2 linked regions of the Neurospora crassa OR74A genome follow. Each later gene encodes a partner of the first gene's protein in a complex. Links are inferred from orthologs where the notes say so. Each region holds a gene or a part of one and is shown on either strand. Other genes may lie near its edges. The genes, in order: NCU06485 and NCU02533.

Region 1 (10,475 bases):
GGCTGGTGTTGTGGTCTTTGACTAGTCCGCCGGGTTTGAACTGTCAGCGGAGATGAAAACCAGCTTTTGGCGCTTAGTGGGTGATCTGTGTCTTCCTCTTCTCGTTGTTGATGGGCTGATGATAAGGTGTGACACGAAAGGAAAGGAGTCGGGTCCCTCTGAAAGTGTGGCGAAATCTTAGCACTGGCGTCTTCGTCTTCTTCCTCCTCCTCCCCCATAGGCTCTGCCGCCGTACCAAGTTCTTGTTCTCCATTCCCATTATGCGCATCAGTGGTCGCATCGAGCTTTTCGATGAAAGGAGCGAGCCGAATCTTCCTAGGCTCCCACGAAGCTGCATTATCGCCTTCAAGACGTCTGAAGAGACTGTCATCTTCCTCGGGCTCGCATATCCAGGGATGAGTAAGAGCTTGGCGCGCCGTGAGCCGGTGTTTGCTGTTGTAGGTGAGACATCCGCGAATGAAGTCCTTTGCATGGCTTGAGATGTTTTCATCTGGACGGAGGCGGGAGGTTTGAGGGTCAATGGGCTCATTGTCATTGCCGTAGTCTTCATCGCCATCTTGAACAGCAATGTCACAGCCGAGGTCATTGAGGATGATGTTGAGGTAGCGGTCGATTCTGTCTTGGCTGGTAAAATCGAGATGACGAAGATTCGGAAGTTCTTGGAATCCAGAGAAAAGCTGAAGGCAAAGCATCCCAATGGACCAGATGTCGACAGACAATGAATGACCTCGCTCGGAGTTATAGCATTCGCTGAATCAAGCGTTAGCATTGCTCTCAACAATCCAGTGACATATGTCAACCCAGGAGGGGAAGTGCGAAACTCACGGGGCGCGATAGAAGGTTGTTCCAACCTCGGACCTTAATCTTCCACGGTTCGTAACAGCCGAGTCCCCAAAATCGGAGAGAACAAGCCTGTAGGAGACATTTGGCGCTATGGCACAGAGAATATTCTCTGGCTTGATGTCTCGATGTGCGACCCCCTTGTTGTGGATGTAGTCAACAGCATTGAGGGTCTGGCGTATGATCCAGCGTATTTCTAGCTCGGGGAGTGCCCCCTCGCGTGATAGAAGTGAGAAGAGATCGCCACCAGTAGCCAGCTCTGTAAAGATATACCTAGAGATACATTAGTTGCCCAACCCTGCTAGCTGCTCGTGATGAAGGTCTTACACCGAATGCTCTGATTCGAAGGCAGCCTTGATGGAAAGAATATTCGGCTGACGACTTTTGTTAGCTTGATCCATCGTCCCGTGCCCTTTCAATGACTTACGTGATCGAGGTAGCTCAACAGCATTGCCTCCTGCTTGATCCGACGGAGTATCTGGTGTGACCGGGGCCGTCTATCTAAGTTGTGCACTTTGCAAGCCACCTGCTGCCCTGTCAAGACATCTGTGGCTAGGTAGACCACAGCATGGGCACCGTTTCCTAATGTGCGGTCTTCCACAAGGTATCGGTTCTCAAGGAGCTGGATGTTGCTAAGTCAGATCATGGCATGTTTTATTTTCGTCGCACGCCAAGATAACAATAGTACCTTGAGCTCCTCTCGCTGGCGTGCAGTGAGCCGCAAAAACGAAGTTCCCTGCTCGAGCTGAACGAACTTGAAAGTGATGTAAGGATATATGGAGATGACATCCCCATTCTGGAGTAGTCTTCCCGGAGTGATGTCTGGCTTCTTCCCAACGCACTTTTTGTTGAGCAGAGTCCCGTTGGAAGACTGTCGGTCTCGCACAAACACAAGTGATGTATGGCGACCTTCTTCGTCAACAGTGATAGAATACAGCTCAAAGTGGTTTCTTGAGACAGTGGAATCGACAAAGACAACGTCATTATTATCTCGGTCCGTGTCACGACCAATTCTGACTGTCTGGTTTGGCCAGATGTAAAAGCCGCCTGGACTTGCGACACGAAAGTTAGGGAGCACTGGTTGGAGGAGACCAGCGAGGGATACATCACAGTATTCACGATCACTTCAGGGAAATGACAGATACCTACCTCTTGTAGGAGGAGCAGTGCTAGTGTCTTCGAAGGAAACACTTGCCACAGGCGGTTGCGACATATCAAACCAGCTGTCAACACCGAGACACGGAAAACAAAGGATAATGATAATGATAAAGCCGGCAATGTCAACGTTCACTCATGTATGCGTTGATGTCGTCACTTGCGTCCGTAGATAGTGTTGACTATTCATGGCCCACCGTGGCTTTGCGTATTGAGAAGTAGAAGTAGGTAAAGGTTGGGAACGACACTCAGAGTTCAAGATCACAGGACGAGATTGGAAGAGTGAGTTGGTGCCTTGAGGATCGACTCCTCCTTCCCATGTCCAGCTATCGTGAAAATCTTTTTATGCAGACAGGTCGTGCCTTCCTTTGACCTGGACGGGTGCAGCTTGCAAGTGAAGTGAAAGTGCAGTGTCCATTAGTAGGAGCGGGAGGCAGGCTCGCTCGTTGGAGGACGAGACGGGAGTCGATCTCCGAGCCGAGCTTCTGATGCAGTCCAGCTGAAGCTCCCGTCCGTCAGCGGGAGCTTGGGCCACCTAGGGCAAAGGTCGCACCCCGCACGGACCGCATCCAAACAAAGAGCGGCAGGCCTGGGCAATTTGGGCCTGCGTCACCTGACTTACCCCACAGGGCTGCTTGCCCTGGAGCCCTATGAGATAAAAGTTCCCCCTCTCCATTCGCAAGTTGAAACTCTTTCCCATCACCAACAAGCAAAACTCATCTTTAAATCCAAGATGTACGCGCTCCCGCCCCCCAGCATTTGCTTGCCCGCCTACTGACATACAAGCAGTTCAAGATGAGAGCGAAGTGGAGAAAGAAGCGCGTGAGACGCCTTAAGCGCAAGAGAAGAAAGATGAGAGCGAGATCGTAAGTTTCACCATCGGCGCATCGACAGTTGATGCAGCTACAATCGCCACTCAGGAGCATATAAGCTGACTCGATCCCAGCAAATAAACGCCTCGCCTCACTCGACCCAATCAGCTCTTGACATTATCCTCTAAGCCATTAGACAACTTGGGCTCGGTGTCGACTCCTCCCCTCAGCGCGGAATGACGCCACATCGGTCGCTCTGAAACCTTGCGGTGATCAGGCGAACTCAGGGTTCCTACGGAACATGCACCCCTCGGGACATGCTGCACATCAAACTGTGGCACACATAGAACGGAACTGTTTGGTGGCGGATATGGTATTGGCTGGTTGCCTGTCAACTTCATGGTTGAGTAGCAACAAGGTGTTTACGGATCAACGCCGGTGGGAGCAAACTGTCTAGTTTGGAGACGCGAATTCGGGATACCCGTCGCAGCAACAATAAAGGCCGCTTCGCTTCATGATACACTTCTCTGCATCTGTGACAAACGGGACTGCATGTCTTGGATCAATTGTTTCTGTCGACAACATGGTCATCTGCCCTCGAACAGGTGACATGGCATTTGCACACAAAGGGAATACCAATTTTTGCAACATCAGTGAACATTTTCAACGACGGGGAAGGCAGTGGCCTGCATGCACGAGGGCATAGAAATCGCGTCCCAAGCCTTGGTTTGCCTTGTGACTTGGACTGAACCCCTCCATGTCTGGTTGATTGTTTTAGCACGCGTGCGGCTTGCTATTCTTCATCTCTCCAAGCAATTTAACAGCAAACCAATAGCAATTGATTTCATAGCATGAAGATTTCGCGCTTCGTAGTATTTCAACACAAATCATCAAACATATTGCATCGTCGTCATCAAATGTGGTGTGTCGATTGTAAAGGCGGTAACTGATACCGGACCCCGGCAGGCGGCAGAATTTTTTTCTGGCTGCGGGATCCACTCGGAAGTTCAGACAGCGACTCTCCAGCTGCATGATCCATTTGATTTGGCGGGACTTCACGACTCTACACTACCCCAGCACCTTTGTAGCCCGCAAACACCACCATGGGAAGCTCATCAGACAAGAAGCGCAAGAGCGCTGAGGATACAACACCCCAAATCAAGAAGAAGAAGGTCGACTCCGAGAAATCGTCCAAGTCGCCCAAGTTCATCAATGTCGGAGCTGTGAAGAGGCCGCAGTATGCGCCTCCGGTCGTGGGTAAGCACATGTTGATCGGCTGAAACCATGGCCGTCAAGTCCAATGGAGGAAGACTCTAACATGCGCTCCTAGCCGCGACCTCGGGACTCGCTCTCTCTTCGTCCATACAATTTCAAGCCTACGCCACACCAGCCGACAAGACCTCGAAGCGCAAGAAGAATGGCGCGCCCGCACAAGAGTTGCTGCTGCACTCTGCCAACCACCGGACGATGGACTACACAGCTCGCGAAGATAGGACAGGAGACTCGTCCGACCCATACCTGAAGCACTACATTGGCATCTTCAACCCCAAAACCGCCGAGGTTGAGATTGTAGAGGCGCGCAAGATGGTGCTCCGTGGCACAGTTAGGTCGCAGAAGGCGGTTGACGAGGCAATGGAAGAGAAGACTCAGAAACAGGTAAGCCTGGAAGTAGTGGTCAGGGGCATAAAACCAGACTGACGGTGCAACAGCAAATGATGGCCATGAGGAACGAGCTCGGCGAGGCATTCGGTACTAAGAAGGCGAAGAAGGCGATCCGCGACGTGACGGAGAACGCCATTACATCTCAAAAGGTTGGCCAGAGCGAGCTGGTGATGATGGACGCCATCAAGACCGCCACCAAGGACATGTCGACCAAGGAAGACCTTCAAGCCGCTGTCGACAACGCCCGACCGGTACCGCGCGGCAACTTCAATGCCGATGAAATCGCAGACGTCTACGTACCATCCCAAATTATCGGATCCGAGGTCCTGAACGCGATACCAGTGATGGATTGGCAGGAGAGCGTCAAGAACCTAGAAGACATCCAGGTACCTTCGCGCTTTGTCGCCAAGCGCGTTTCCAACGTAGCAAGCAGCGACGACGCGGTGCACAGATTGAGGGTACTGCGGTACCTCTTGTTCGTCATCATTTTCTGGAATGCCACCTCGCAAGGAAGGGAGCGTGGCACAAGAAGCATTGGTAAGAGGGATAAGCTGCGCGAGGTTATGGCACCAGCGCCCGAGATCGTGATTGAAAACATCCGCCGCAAGTTCTCGGACGGCGGAGTCATGCGCAAGACACACGTTGACCTTCTGATGACGCACTGCTGCGCATTTGCCGCCATCATCGACGGCTTCAGGGTCAACACGATTGACTTGAGAGAAGATCTGAAGCTGGAGCAGAAGCAGCTCAACCAATACTTTATCGAGATTGGAGCTCGCGTCAAGCAACAGAAGGTCGCTGACAAGATGGAGAACTTTGCCGTCCTGCAACTGCCTCTTCAGTTTCCCAAGATCAGACTGCCGGCACGGAAGAGGTAAACCACGCTTTGCTGAGCCGGACCCACGGCCACGGATCATATCATCAAGTTTAGTTGGATTGTGCGCATTGCACATCATCCACCCAGTCCTACATTGGACATCTTGGCGCTTACGTTTGGAAGTACCCTACGAAGTGCTGAGAAAAGGCATGCTTTTTGCGAGAGAAGCGATCATCCAGCTCAGTTGGAAGTCTGGCCGCTTCCAGCCTGTAACCACCATGGTGTGTTGTTGAGACACACCCAAGCGACACCCAGGCGCTGGCCAATCAAAATTCCAAGCGCCTAATCGAGAGGAGGCCATGACCTGTACCGCACTATTTGAGCATCTTGCCGAGGTATACATCAGTTATTTTGTGGTTCGGGCAGTAAAAGCTAGGCTAGAAAGCATATATCATTGTATAGACAATGTAGAGAATAGTCATGGAAATTGATGGGCCATAAGAAGTATGGCGGGAAGCTTGTCCCTCAGTCTTTATCAAGCTCTGAATGGGGTCAAAGAGATGACATTGAAATCTAGGAAAAGGGTCACCCCACAAAAAGCTGGCCCCCCTGGGTTCTGGTTCTCAAGTGCCTCAACGCTTGGCCAACCCCTTTGTGTTTGTTTACTACTGATATCCGCACGGACCCAATAACGAAGATGGGAACTGATGACGGGCTTCGAGATGAGTAATGGGGCAGAGATGATCATTAACCTGAACCAGCTAACGCCAGTTGATGTGCAAAATCAGAACCACGAACGTCAAGCTAACATATGTAACAGGAAGAATGTCCGCGGCAAATCCTACGCAGATATCAGAGCAGCCGACGGCCAGGCTAGAAGAAAACAAGATGAAAAGGTAGTTATATGGCTGCCCTGGATGGGCATCCGCCCAGGCGTCACCTTCTACCGTTGTCCCCTTTCGCTGGCCGCTGGCCGCTGGCCGCCCCGCGGTGTGAGACGCCGTCGGTGGTAGGTAGGGCTGGGCCGAAGCCGATCACCCCACGATGAAGTTCCTTCCCCTTGTGCCTCCCCAAAGCGTCCCCGACTTTGTCCGTCCTCCCCGTTTCCCCTGGCCCATTGCCTTGACCATCCCATCGTCCGTGTGCCGGCCGCTGCTTGTGCTTCCCCTCGCTCCAGTCCAGTCCCCTTAAGTTGGACCCCTTGGCGTTGTGCAGAGTGAAGGCGCTTGAGCCGCATTCGAAAGCCACGTGGGGAAAATCCCCACCGAGCGACCAGAGCCAGTGCAGTTTTCCTCACCGGCACCCACCCCGACCAGCTTAAATGGTATGACGACATTGCCTCTTTTAAAGAGCTTTTGGGATCTTCAACTGAGACGCGTCTCACTCTCAACGACCATTTTCCACAGATTATTTTGCTCTCTAAATTGCGGCTTCAATTTTGCATTTACACACTCAATGCACCTTTCCCAATGCTGTCTGATGTCTCTGCTTTCAATCTGAGCAGCCATTCTCTGCAATTTTGTGTTGGTGACAGCGACAATACGAGTGCTCAATTCACGACGCGTCAAAGTTGGGTCGACGGGCGAATTGTCGGGGCAGGGGGTACTTTGCGATTTTTTCTGAGGTGATTCGCAATGCCGGGGCTGGTGCCTGCAGCGCATGGACCAGCTTTTGTGGTCTCTGGGCGTGCTGATTGGCCAGGACGGTGCCAACCAGCGCCTTTCTTCCAGTTCCAGTTTCATTCCAGTTCACAGTTCCGCGAACGACCTACCTGGTAATGAAGGGAACGAACGCGACCGACCGACCGCTGACTGTCCACCTTCTTGCCTCCCGTCTGCCGCACCCCAGGCAGCTCACCACGCTCATTCACTCACCACCTCAACTCCAGTGACACTTCTTTCACGCCAGTCCTAGGTAGTCTTTGCCCCTGCTTCTGGCCTCCCTCCCGTCCTGCCTTCCTTCTGCACAACCTACCTACAATTCACGGCATCTGACCGACTGCACTCGATATCTCCCGCCGAGGTGAAGCTACTTATCCATCCAGCTTCGCGACTTTCAACTATAACGACTGGAGTTTGCTTCAAGTCCTCTCCTCTCGGGAAGTTATGCGCGCGCGCGAGAGGATTTGCACCACACTGCTGCCTCCCTTCACTACTACAACCTCTACATAACATACTAGCTCGGCACCAAGACCGGCACCGCAGTCCGACTTCAACTCCCCAGCGAGCAGTCTAGTCTAGTGCCGGGCGTGTGTTCGCGTGTGTGTGCGTGTCTGCTGCCGTGTGTGTGTGTGTGTATGCATATTGCATTACCCAAAGAAAAAAAAAAAGAAGCATCGTCGCATCAGTCGTCGCATTCTACCAAATCCTCCTACCTGCCCAGTGCCTCTCCTAGATGCCCTTCGACTCTCTGTCTGGCTCTACCTCAATTGCGCCCTTGGATAGGTTTTGCTCTGTCCAAACCTCAAGGCAACTTCGACCTGAACTAAAGTGCTCCGTCGATGCAGCGGTACATCCCACCTCCTGTTAGTCGTCAACCTGACAGCAAGGTGAGAGCCGACCGAGTGTTGACCCAATTTCACCCCCCCACGGCACCTAGGTCCATACCAGACAGAACATAAATCTGTATGTGGCTCTCTTTTTTTCTGGTTGTTCAGTTGCCTCTTTCCATCCCGTCCCTTTGCTCCCACTTCCCATTGCTTCCCTTGACCTGTTGACGCATCCTGTTTTGCTCTGCACGGCACACACGGACCTAACACGACTTATTCATGCAGGCTGCTAGATATTGAATAGCTGTTATCAATAAACATCGCATCGAAATAGCCAGTCGCAAGCTCAACAATTCACCAACCGCTAGCTTTTTGCCCCCATTCTCGCCATCGGACGGAATAGGCACCCCATCGGAATCCACCCTACTATTGTCCACCACCAACCCCAGTCCTATTCAGAGCTATTCGTTGCAGCACTTATTGGACCACATTATACCTAGCCGTTTTGCCCCCACCAACAATCTGCTATGTCTAAGCGTAAAAAGGACTTTCTCACGGATTTCGACCCTAACAAATCCGATCCCGAAGACGAAAACTTCGACCCCATTGCCGAAAAGCAACGAACCCCGCGAAGTGCAAGGAAGCAAGCAAACACCCGCCGCCCAAAGAACCGAGGCGCTGCTGGCGGCGCGCGCAGGCGGAACAGCCGATACAAAGGATCCGACATCGAAGACGACGAAGATATCAGCGACAGCGAACAAGACATCTCTTTCGGTGAAGAGGAAGACGAGGAAGAAGAAGAAGACTCGGACGCTCCTGTCAACGCTACGGGCAGGCGGATGCGCCAGGCTGCCGCACGACACCAATCGTACAGGGAAAGCAGTGAAGACGAAGACGGGATCCAGTCGTCTGACCAAGACAAAGACGTCGTCCAGGAGCCCGACGAAGAACATAGAGTGCCTTCGATAGAGTCTCCTGAACAGAGTCCCAGCAAAAAGAAGTCTCGCATCGTTGTGCTGAGTGTCAAAAAAGGCGCCAAGCCAAGCTCACAACGACCAAGACGTGGCGCTGCTGCCAAAGAACCAGCAACCATGGTTCCCCCGACCCGCCGCTCTACGAGAGCCCGCACGGAAGAGACGGACGAGCCATTGCTCGAGCTGTCCAACTCGGGAAGACATACCCGCGTCACCCGCGCATCAACAAGAAGTAAAAGCCCGGAAGCCTTGACCCACGCCACCAGAGCTACCCGTGGTTCCAAGGGTGTTAAGAAACAACAACCTCCACCCATTCCCGAAGCCTCGCATGAGGAAGATGACGACGAATTCAAGGTCGAGACGGATATACCCAATGCTGACGATGTGGACGAGCTGGCCGGTCAGGCGAACATGGTCGATGCGCCCGCTGACCATCCAGACGAACACCAAGAGGGAAGGGCTGAACAGGTGGCCGAGGAAGGAGCTGCCCAACAGGTTAGCGAAGAACAACCTGCACAGACCGAGAGCCAGCCAGCAGCAGAAGACGCAGACGGTGACGACGAAGACGATCGTCCGATTACTAGGCGGACTCGTGGGGCTAGAGCCGTCACATCTACCACAGCTGCCTCGACCACGACCACTGTCACAGCAGTTGAACCAGAGGGCGAAGGACTCAGGAGCCGCCTCAGGCGTGGGTCTCGCTTGAAGAAGAGGTCGCTCGCTGAACCTAGTAGTGACTTTGAGCCAGGCGAGGAGTCGGGCGATAACGAATGCTATGCCTCGGAGGCTTCAGTTAAAAAGAGTGGACGTAAAGGTTCCAGTGCAGATGAGTCTGCCGCTACACCCGTTCGCGGACGTTCCACCCGTGCTCGCGCTGCCAAAAGGCCTCGCCGCAACCAAGATTCTGGTGATGAGGAAGTTGAGCTGGATAGGGAGGAGCTTGCTGAAGAACTCGAGGAGCTTCGCGAGAGCTCACGCTCGCGGCCGCGAAGAGCTGCCACTCGCCGTCGCCGCTCACCTTCTATTCAGTACGAGGAACCCGCGGGCAAGAGACGTCGCACTACCCAGCGTGTTGATTACACTATCCCGGCGATCGACTTGGCCGCCCTCGAGGCCGAGGAAGATGAAGAGCCTGTGGCAACGCCAGCAAGAGGCCGCAAGAGGAACGGAGGAAATGCAGGATGGGACCGTCCTTTAAACACCACCTATGGTCCCTTCGGTGGCGCTGGAATTGGCGCTCTGCTTGGAGGCCCTTGGGGCACCGGTGCTACGGGCGGCGTTGATTCCGACAGCAGCGACGACGAGATGGTGCAACGAACCGGTCCTGGCCAGAACCCTATTGGCATGACGCCCACTTCTGCCGCTCCTCCGGTTGGCTTATCCAATCCTGCGGCTCAGACCCATAATGTGGACGGCCTGGGTGGTATTGGAGGCGCCACACCTAACGTCGGAAAGGTGAAGAATCTCAAGGCGTTTGCGGATGCGGATCCGCTTGGCGTCGATACGAGTGTTGACTTTAGCAAAGTCGGAGGCTTGCAAGGCCACATCGACCAACTCAAGGAGATGGTTCAGCTTCCCCTTTTGTATCCCGAACTTTTCACCAGATTTCATGTTACACCACCACGAGGTGTTCTTTTCCACGGTCCGCCCGGTACCGGTAAAACTCTCCTCGCCAGAGCCTTGGCCAACTCGGTCGGCTCCGGAGGCCGCAAGATCAGCTTCTACAT
Region 2 (9,963 bases), on another chromosome or scaffold:
GGATTGACGACAAAGTTACAACAACCTCGCAGGACGCTTCAGAGGGTGACCGAAGCCGTGGTCAGGGCCAGTTGGCAGTTTTATTCATACAACGGTCCTGAACTTCAATGCAGTCTTCGTCGATATCTCTACGTATCAATACCGCTCAATCAACCATAGCTCTGGTTCACTTTCAACTGCGGCTTAGCCAGGCCCAGTTGACACGAGATTTCCGTGCAAGCAGCTCAAGTCAACAGAGGGATGTGTATCCAAGAGTACATTGCCTACCAGTGTGGGCACCGAACACCGGGTGTCGTTCGCCCGTGCCCCCTGACCACCGCAGGACACAACTTCCCCATCTGCACCATCCGGCCGTCAAAGCAACACCTGGCACAAACCATGTGCGGCCCTTGCGAAAGACTCCTACACTCACGATGGGTACTTATTCGGGAGTGGGAGCATCGCTGGCTCCATGAGCGTGGAGTTTGCGGCTGTGATGTGGTCTTCCCCGGCCTTCTGACCCGACCTCGCGTGATTGGCAACGTCCTAGGTCCAGAGGAAGACTTCACTGAAGGGGCCCGAGACGACACAATCGGACATTGTGGATCTGCTCCCACTCCCTATGATCCAACGGAGGTAGAGGAGGCACTACAACAAGGCAATACAGGAACAGGAACTTACCACATTCCGCCCATATTCACCGAGACCGCTACCGGCGATCAGCAGCGTGTTGCCATCCGCTTGCCCAGCTTGTACGCGGCCGAGTGGCTAGCTGATCACCGCGCTCTCCACGACAGCGGAAGATGCCAGTGTCCGGTCCGTTTTACGCCCTTTCAGCCTGACGTGGGAGAATATGACATGATCACCGGGGAACGGGAGTATCTCCAGGAATACCGCCAGACTGAGAGCCGCAATAGGGCCATAAACAAGGGTGAGGAGGAAATTACTTTACGGATGGCCCAGATCAATGATACGTTTGGAACTTTTGATCCTGCTGCTGCTGCGTCATCACCCCCGGCCAAACCGAAACCTCCTCTTGTATCTAATTTACCTCCGACCGGCCCTCGTCATACCAGAGCTCGCTCGCATCACCGCCAGAGCCACTGCCTTCATCATCAGCAGGAGCATTTTCATCAAGGACAGGGACATCACCACAGCCAGCCAAGGCATGCCACTTCGGTGACTTTGGCGAACACCTCCGTGCCTTTCCCCCAGGGGCGGTCTTGTGATCCGGCAGCACAGCACCAGCAGCGACCGGAGCTTTTCGGCCTGGCAGATCAGCCAGGGCAGCTCTCTATCCGTTCGTCGTCCCACGCCGTCGCCTCGGTCTACGGCAACCATGAACAACACGTTTACGGACCACACACCTTCGTACCAATGGGCATTGTTTTCCCCGATCATTGTGACCACGAGCCCGAGACTCAGGATGGACCGCAACAGCTTCAGCAACATTGTCAGGAACTTCATTCCCTAACCAGTCGTTCCTCTCCGCCACCGTGTCTTCCATTCCCATTTCCATACTGCGGTCTGCCCGTCGGCTCCGGACCAGAGGGCAGTGAAGTACACATGCCTAATTGGGAGGATTGTCAGTTGAGAAGATGCAAGTCGAGCTTCCAATCTGAATCTGAACCTGGACCTGGACCTGAACCTCGTTCTAGAGCTGGGGTGGTTTCGAGCGAGGTTCAAGCTGAGACTAATAAGGTTGGGACCGATACTGAAACCAATAACGGAAACGGAAACGGAACCGGCATCGCGAATGATGCTGAAGGTGGTTGTGGGGCTCAAGTTGATCACGCCGAGCAATACCAGCAACACCGTACAAGTTTGGGAAGAGGACACCAGCGGAGCTCATCGTACTCCTGAGCGGGATTAAGGATTCCTCATCTTGAGTCCTTGGACTGGTGAGTCGCCATCCCATCGCTTCCATGACTTGTTTCGAAGATGTGAATTCCCTGGGACTTTTATGAGAGTGGCCCAATTGTGAAGCTAACAATACAGAGGACAGCGAACCACGAAAACAACAAATTCTCAGCGCGCAGTATGACGGCGGGATGGAGATTATCAAAGTCGACAGAGAGCGAGTGTTCGCTCCGCGACAATGTTCGACGGCAGCCAGTCCAGTGGCGGCTGAGAAGTTATTGTAACAACAAGCAGTCGTCGCGTTGCCTTTTTCATATCTCGTCTCACAGCACCACACAACCATGCACATCAAGGACTGGCACAACTAACACCAACACCACAGAAAATGTTGAAGAAGAAGGACGTGGATGATGTGTTGCACACAACTCAACGACGAAAGACCAAAGCATGGCATCCCTTCACTTCAGTCTCTCTTTTAAAGACCCGATGACTGAATTGGCTATTCTTCTTCTGTTGCTGGTCTAGTCTGCATCTATCTATGTTTCCTGTTCCGTTTTTGCCAGGGGATAAGAGAAGAAGTCAAAACGTCCCACCTTTATCAGCAAAACCCAAAGTACTGTTTCTCCTTTAGGCGTTCTTTAAAGGTAAAACATCGCGCGCGGCCTGCTTATCCGCTCATTTCAATATCTGCAGTTGCTGTGCTTCATTCATCAAAAAAAAAATATCCCATGCGTTGCGTTCCATGTCACAAAGTTTGCAGCCGGAGAGCTTCAACATTACCGATCGACCTCACCTGGAAGTAGGAATAAAAGGGTTAGCTACCAAACCACTTGGAATTTTAAAGAAGAGAGTTTCACACAATGAGAATCAAACTTACCAAACACCAAATCCATTGTGCCGATAACGGCCACGGCATCAGCCAACATGTGGCCCCTCGACAAGTGGTCAAAGCCACCCAGATGAGCAAAGCCGGGAGCGCGGATGTGCACACGATACGGCCTCTCGGAACCATCACTGACGACATAGACGCCCATTTCGCCCTTGGGGGCCTCGATGGCCGAGTAGGTGTCACCGGGCGGGACGGCATAGCCCTTGGTGTACAGCAAGAAGTGGTGGATGAGGGCCTCCATGTTCTCCTTCATGGCGGAGCGGGGCGGCGGGGAGATCTTGTAGTCTTCGACACGGACGGGACCAGCGGGCATCTTGTTAAGGCACTGGTGGATGATACGGAGTGACTGACGGAACTCCTCCATGCGGCACAGGTACCGGTCGTAGCAGTCGCCGTTGATGCCAACGGGAACGTCAAACTCGACTTGGTCGTATGCGTCGTACGGCTGACTCTTACGGATGTCCCATGGCACGCCGGAACCGCGGAGCATGACGCCCGTGAAGGACAGGTTCAGGGCGTCGGCGGCAGAGACTACACCGATGCCGCGCAGACGGTCTATCCAGATACGGTTGTCCGTAAGCATCTCCTCGGTTTCGTCGATGCGGTCGCCGAACTGCGTGGCCCACATGTAAATGTCATCGAGCAGGCCGAGAGGGATATCTTGGTGGACACCTCCGGGGCGGACGTAGGCAGCATGGAGACGGGCACCAGAGACTCGCTCGTAGAATTCCTAAGGTTTTTCACATATTAGATTGAGCTGCTGGGGTTGGGTGCGTGCTGCATTGGTATTCCCAGGTCCTTTCGCGTAGAGTTTCGCGCATTGGTTTTTAATATACCCATCTGATAGAGACCGCCGATATTTAACGAAAAATACGAATCAACACTCACCATCAATTTCTCTCTTTCCTCAAAGCCCCACAAGAAAGGCGTGAGAGCGCCGACGTCCATGGCGTGCGACAAAACAGACATGAGATGGTTGAGAATACGGGTAATCTCAGCGAACATTGTACGAATCCACTTGGCACGCTCGGGGATCTCAACGTTGAGCAGCTTCTCAACGGCCAGAGCAAAACATTGCTCGTTGGTCATCATGGAGACGTAGTCAAGACGGTCAAAGTAAGGGAGCGCCTGAAGGTAGGTCCTGTACTCGCAGAGCTTCTCGGTGCCGCGATGCAGCAGGCCGACGTGGGGGTCGGCACGAACAATCTCTTCACCCTTTAGCTCGAGAATCAGGCGCAACACACCGTGAGCGGCCGGATGCTGAGGACCGAAGTTGACCGTGTAGTGCCGCACCTTGCGGGCCAGGATATGATCCTGGGGAGGCACTCTCGGGGCACCGTCTGCCTTCAAAGCCTCCAAGCCATACAGATCGTTGTTGGGCGCAAAGTCGTCGCCGGTAGGGACCAGACGGGTTCCTTGGCCCTCGTAGCTGGGCTCGGCATACCGTCTGAGAGCGGAGGCAGAAAAGGCGCGAGTCGAGTTGAGGTTGTGAGCGATGGTGGTGCTCTGGCGCATACAATGGCGCTTGGCATTGCGCCCAGCGAGTCGGAACAACGTCGTCGCCATTGTTGTTTGTGGGACTGCCGCTTGCTTTGGGTCGCTCAGAAGGTCAGGGAACGGAGATGGATAGATTCGCAGGATTGACAGCGACGGAGGACAAAGGGGAGGAGGTTCGCCGCTGGATGTGGCCTCTTCTCCGGCGGTTCAATGGCTCGCAGTGAGCTTGCGATTTCTAGTGATAGCAGTAATAAGGTGGTGGTGGAGATGCTTCAGTTGACGTCCAGTCGACTTTCCCTGACCACGGCCGCAGCAACGCCCCAGCTTCGAACTCCTCAAATCGTTGCCGTCAGTTGGTCAGTGAATTTCAACCCAATCAAAGGCCATCAGTTGAGCAGTCAGAGACCAAGCTTCTTCTGGTACAACGTTCCCCCCACGGCGGGCAAGCTCCCGTCTCGACTGTTGCCGGCCAAGGCGTTTATCCGGCAGCCGTGCCGCCAAGCGGTCCCATGGAGGGCAGCCGCGCTATATGCCATCTGATTGGCTGGTTGTAGAAGCCTCGGTCCTTCGCCAGGCAGTCTCGAGGCAGTGTAAGTCGGAATTTGGGCATTTTAGGGAGAGGTTTTCGCAGAAAGGAAGAGGAGGATGGAAGAGCATGTCCACACTTATAACAATGACCACAGAGATTCCAAGATGTGCTGGAGTTAAGAGTGGAGTTAGTCAACATGTCACTTACTCGCGACAAACCTCGATGTGGACATGGAATATGAAGCCCCGATGTCTTTCCCTCGCCGAAGCTACAAAATTGTGGATTTGGAATTGATACTCCCGACATGCAAGTATATCTAGGTAGTTGAAGTATCTCCCATCATACCTGCGCAGCCCTTTGCAAGTGAAGATCTAGCGTTCTCTCTTCGCCTCAGGTTTCGTCGATGGTCGAAGTCGACGGTAACCTGACAGAGGTTATGGCCCGCCATGTACCCTGTTGGCCTTGTCCCAGTCATTGCGGTCCTGTCCACAATTGTCTCCGCCGAGGCCCATGAGCATCAAGTTGAGCCAGGCAGTCCCTGAACCTCTCCGCCACTGCCTGCAGCACGATAAGATCTCAGCCAACCAATCAACCGCATTCCCGCGAAGGCGGTCAAAAAGTTCCCGTTCGTGGGAAAAATTCTGCCGCTCCATCGCCCGTCGCACAGCGCAGAGCTCTCTTTCCCAAGATTTTGCCCGGCGTGCCGACCTGCGTGTGAAAGCGAGAGGGTAACCCCGCCAACCTAGAGCATTATTTACACATATCGTCGCAATGGGATCCTCAAAGAAGCAGACCGCCGTGCCCGTCAGGACAAAGGTCCCGAGCCCAGAAGAGGTTGAGAAGCGTAACGTACGTCAATCACTGGCTTGCCGCCCATCATCATCAGTCGAGGCTGCGCAGCGCATGCAACGCGGAAACTGATGGCATTTTTCTTCTGCAGACTGTCCATATCAACGCCGAAACTGTCACCAATGTCACATCCACCGACTTTCCCGGCTTCTACCCCGGCGAGGATCATTCCTGGGATATCGAAAAGTTCCGCGAAAGTGTCCGCGTAGTGTTCCACCAGAACGACCCTTATGAGGCTCAATTCTCGCTCATTGGCGTCGACGCCTCTATCGCCAATGCCTTCCGCCGTATCATGATTGCCGACATCCCCACGCTGGCCATTGAGGACATTTTCATGTGGAACAACACCTCCGTGATCCAGGACGAAGTTCTTGGCCACCGCCTGGGCCTGATCCCGTTCACCGGCGGCAAGGAAGGCCTCCATAACTTCCTCAAGTGGTACAAGAAGGGCGAGACCCCGTGCGACTACAACACGGTCGAGCTCGAGCTCAAGGTCAAGTGCGAGAACAACGAGAGCGCGCCGGCAGACAGCAAGGACCCCAAGGAGCTCTACCACAACGCCCATGTTTACGCTAAGGACATCAAGTTCGTGCCCAAGGGCCGGCAAGCCAAGTACTTCTCGGGCGAGAACGCCATCCGGCCCACGAACCCTGACATCCTCGTCGCCAAGATGCGGCCGGGACAGGAGATCGATCTGACGATGCACATGCACAAGGGCGTCGGGTCCGATCACGCCAAGTTCTCCCCCGTCGCCACGGCCTCGTACCGCCTCATGCCGACCATCACCATTCTCGAGCCGATCCTAGGCCGCGACGCCGAGAAATTCCAGAAGTGCTTCCCCGAGGGCGTCATCGGGCTGGAAAAGGTCACCAAGGAGGAGGCGAAGAAGAAGGGCAGCGGATACGAGGGCCATGAGGGCGAGCTCAAGGCCGTGGTCCTGGACGCCATGCGTGACACCGTCAGCAGAGAGTGCTTGCGCCATGACGAGTTCAAGGACAAGGTCAAGCTGGGCCGAAGGAGGGATCACTTCATTTACCTGGTGGAGAGCACGGGGCAGTGGGAAAGCGACGCCATCTTCCTCGAATCGATTGCCCACCTCAAGGAGAAGGCGAAGAGGTTCGAGAAGCAGGTGGTGAACATGGTACAGTAAACATTGTACCAGGGGTAGGAGGATTCAAAATAGCACGAAGAAGAGGTGAGGTTATTTCTATGTACGGTGGTTGAGACAGAATTTGAGCGATCATGATGTGGAATCACACAGGGAAAGAGGAAAAATCACACGGATTAGGTCGTGAGGATACCCATCTCTCTTGTAACCATATAAAAGAACATTGGAACGGCGTCATGGAGGCTAGGGATTGGTGGCCAGCTTTAGTTTAATGGTTTCTGCTTGTTAATTATCATAGACATGTCGGTGCACATGAGTCATGAACCACACTGTCTTGCATAAACACAGTACCCCTCATTTGACATGATGTCTTTTGGTTACGTACTGCGTAGCATATTGTTGAAGCACATTGTTAATCATATCTTGTATTCACATCTAATTAATTGCAAAGGAAGTTAACTCATCGCTATAGCCATCTTGCGGGTCATTCCCCGCTGCTTGTTGTGCAACGCTCCCGCTCGTAGGTAATTTACAAATCTAGTCCCTAAATAGCATGAACAAAGTCCAGGCAAACCAGGCCAGGCCATCATGACACGTTCATGTCTGGGGACCATCATGCAAACTTGAGGCTGAAGTTGAACACCACGCCTACAAACGCTGGATCAGTAACGGCGAGCTCAGTACCTTCCGTCAGCCCAAGCTGCTCAAGTGTCTTCTCCAAGTTTGGCCGCGTCTGCTCCTCCAAGTTCGGGGGCAACTGCATGTACAGCGTCTTGCCCTCAGCCCGCACCGACGGCTTCTTCAGTTGCGCCTCAGGAAGGGTAGCAAACGACTCTATGAGCTCTTCGAGTGTCCACTTGGGGTTGACCTTGAGCACCCTTGCCGTCATGCCGCACACGGGGCAGTCCTCCTTTTGCTCGTGCTTAAACGTATACGTGTAAATGCTGTCGTTGCCGGAATACATCATATAATTAGGCTCGCCTTCGCCGGGGGTGCCCAAAAAGGGTGCACAGCTGGATGCGATCTTGAGTGCCTCGTTGCAGCAGGCCGCGGCGATGACCGAGTTCGTGGCCGCGATGGCCGGGATGATGTTCTTCACCACGCCTTGCGTCAGAGAGTACGTGACGCCCGATATGTTGAATTCCTTTGCCCGCTCGAGGGCTTTCTGGTAGAGCCAGGTGATGTGCTCCGGGTCGTCCTTGTCGAGCTGCGGGAACGGCTTCTCCTTGTCCCAAGCGATGACGTGCGCCCATTCGATGCAGTGCTCCGGCTGGCGGGGGATGCTGGCGAGAGTGCAAAGAGGAACGGCGGCTCGGGGAGCGTGCATGTCTAGCTGGCACTCGATACAAGAGCCCATGGTCGGTAGAATAACGCGGGCTTGGCCCTTGAAGCCCTCGGTGCCGCCGTCGATGAGAGGTTTCATGCTATCAGGGTTTTCACAACTCGCCATGTTGACCAGGGTGGCGTTGATCCATCGGCGTGCCTCGATGCTGTCCAGTCCGCAGACTACAATCTGGAACTGCTGGTAGAAGTCTTCATCGAAGTCCTGTATCTTGCAGTTATATGGCGTGATCTTGACGCCTTTGACTCTTCTCTCAACGAACTTGGCAGCTACTTCGGCTTTGAATTTCCCTACGTCCGCGTGACGGAAGAGAAACTGGCGGTTAAGGTTGGAGATGTCGATCGTATCTAGACTTCCAGGTCAGCTATCATTGACATGTCGATATATCTATAGAGGACAACCGACCCATGTCGATGACGGAAATGTCCTTGAACCCGGAAAGGGCGAGGTTCTTGAGGATCTCACAACCCAGTCCTCCAGCTCCGCTACCTTGCCGTCAGTTCTCATAACCATGACCCGTCAAATCATTAAGCTGAGACTAACATGACTCTGGAAAAGTTATCAGCTTCTGCTTGAATAATTTGATATACGCATACACTTGATGTACTGCCAATTAAAAGGATAACTTACAAGATCTTGATTTTGTTCATGTTCTCTACTACCGTTGAGCCATCAAACTCTTCCGGATCCACGAATGCGCCTGGCCGTGTTCGGACATTGTTGAGATACTTCCTATGGTAAAGGTGGCGTGTTAGCTGTTGGGACTCATGCCCTGAAGATATGAAATCCAGGGGGTGTTCTTGGGTCGCGATCGAGAGCGCGTAACACCTACCATCTTTTGGCTTCGGAGTCTGGGAGTACTTCTGGACTTGACATGACTAGTTTATGGCTACAAGAGGAGACTTCGCTGGTGAGATAATTAAGGGGGAGGCCGGCGGGTAGGATGAGAAATGCTAGTGATAATATTTGCTGATTAGTCGCGGCTCACAAATTGTTGCAGGTTGAATGTACAATCCGAGGGGTGAGTTGACGGGACAACAAACAAACGGAACTGGAGGAGGGAAGCTTCCATAGTTCCACTTGCGGGCGGGCCCGGACTTCAGGTTCGGAGATGGTGAGTGGATAGCTCCTGCCGCCCCGTTAAAGGAGACCCTGTAGGTTACCAACAGCGGCAACGGAGAGTGCCCGAAAGTGCAGTTCAGGGCCGCTACAGGGAAGGGACGACTGCCTGCACAACGGATCAGTTAGCACTTAGCAGCAACACCGACGCTACGTATCATCCCCTGTTGCTTTCCGTTTGACGCAGATAACTACGTACACTCAGTGAAATGTCGTCGATACGAAACGGAATTTCCACTTTCCTTCCAATTCGTTCCGTCCTCTTTCGATCGGTCAAACGATAGGTAACGTTCCGGGGTGTGAATTTCACTTCAAGCCCAGCCTGTGTATTTCAAAGTCCTCATCACCAACTGACATCATTACAGATATCTGAGATGAACGGCCTCTTGACGCCCATCAGCACCTCCCGCCTGAGTGCGAGCCCCAACGAACCTCTGCTCCAGGAAGTTGGCCTCAGAAAGGAAACAGTAAAGCCGAACCAATCTCCTGGTCAGAGGCCCTTGAACTCGCCCGAGGAAGCCCTCGAAGTTTTACGACATGAACCTAACTACGACCAGCTCGTCGCTACTTTGCGATTCCTCAGCCATGAGGATTTAGCCGGGTCCACATTCAGCATCAAGGAACCAAGTCCTATGACCGCAAAGCTAGTTCAGGTGCTGGTGTCAGAAATCGTCCCGAACTATTGGACTCTGCTAAACGAAGACTCCCATGAAACCAAGTCTTCGGCCTTGGGGCTCTTGCTAGCTTGTCTTCGCAGTCTGACAGGGGTCAATGCCATTATTGTGCGTCTG

The links.
Region 2: NCU06485 (region 1) and NCU02533 share a complex: the UniProt entries of both Saccharomyces cerevisiae proteins name them as parts of the RNA polymerase I (Pol I) complex. The link is inferred for Neurospora crassa OR74A from reciprocal best matches to the Saccharomyces cerevisiae genes RPA49 and RPC40.

What each region holds. Positions count from the first base shown.
Region 1 is NC_026503.1:1,578,074-1,588,548, reverse strand, and holds NCU06485 (hypothetical protein), read left to right. Parts: upstream 1-3,837; 5' UTR 3,838-3,910; coding exon 3,911-4,064; intron 4,065-4,137; coding exon 4,138-4,463; intron 4,464-4,516; coding exon 4,517-5,347; 3' UTR 5,348-5,871; downstream 5,872-10,475. Other genes in the region: stk-43 (serine/threonine protein kinase-43), read right to left, coding at 1-750, 826-1,113, 1,168-1,214, 1,268-1,462, 1,529-1,887, 1,990-2,053; NCU06484 (hypothetical protein), read left to right, coding at 8,302-10,475. UniProt on the Saccharomyces cerevisiae protein: DNA-dependent RNA polymerases catalyze the transcription of DNA into RNA using the four ribonucleoside triphosphates as substrates. Component of RNA polymerase I (Pol I) which synthesizes ribosomal RNA precursors.
Region 2 is NC_026501.1:2,643,490-2,653,452, reverse strand, and holds NCU02533 (DNA-directed RNA polymerase I and III polypeptide), read left to right. Parts: upstream 1-5,416; 5' UTR 5,417-5,525; coding exon 5,526-5,603; intron 5,604-5,694; coding exon 5,695-6,753; 3' UTR 6,754-7,113; downstream 7,114-9,963. Other genes in the region: NCU02535 (hypothetical protein), read left to right, coding at 241-1,842; nuo49 (NADH:ubiquinone oxidoreductase 49kD subunit), read right to left, coding at 2,616-2,632, 2,717-3,458, 3,617-4,294; NCU02532 (NEDD8-activating enzyme E1 catalytic subunit), read right to left, coding at 7,325-8,400, 8,459-8,538, 8,597-8,602, 8,684-8,785, 8,886-8,929; NCU02531 (hypothetical protein), read left to right, coding at 9,805-9,963. UniProt on the Saccharomyces cerevisiae protein: DNA-dependent RNA polymerases catalyze the transcription of DNA into RNA using the four ribonucleoside triphosphates as substrates.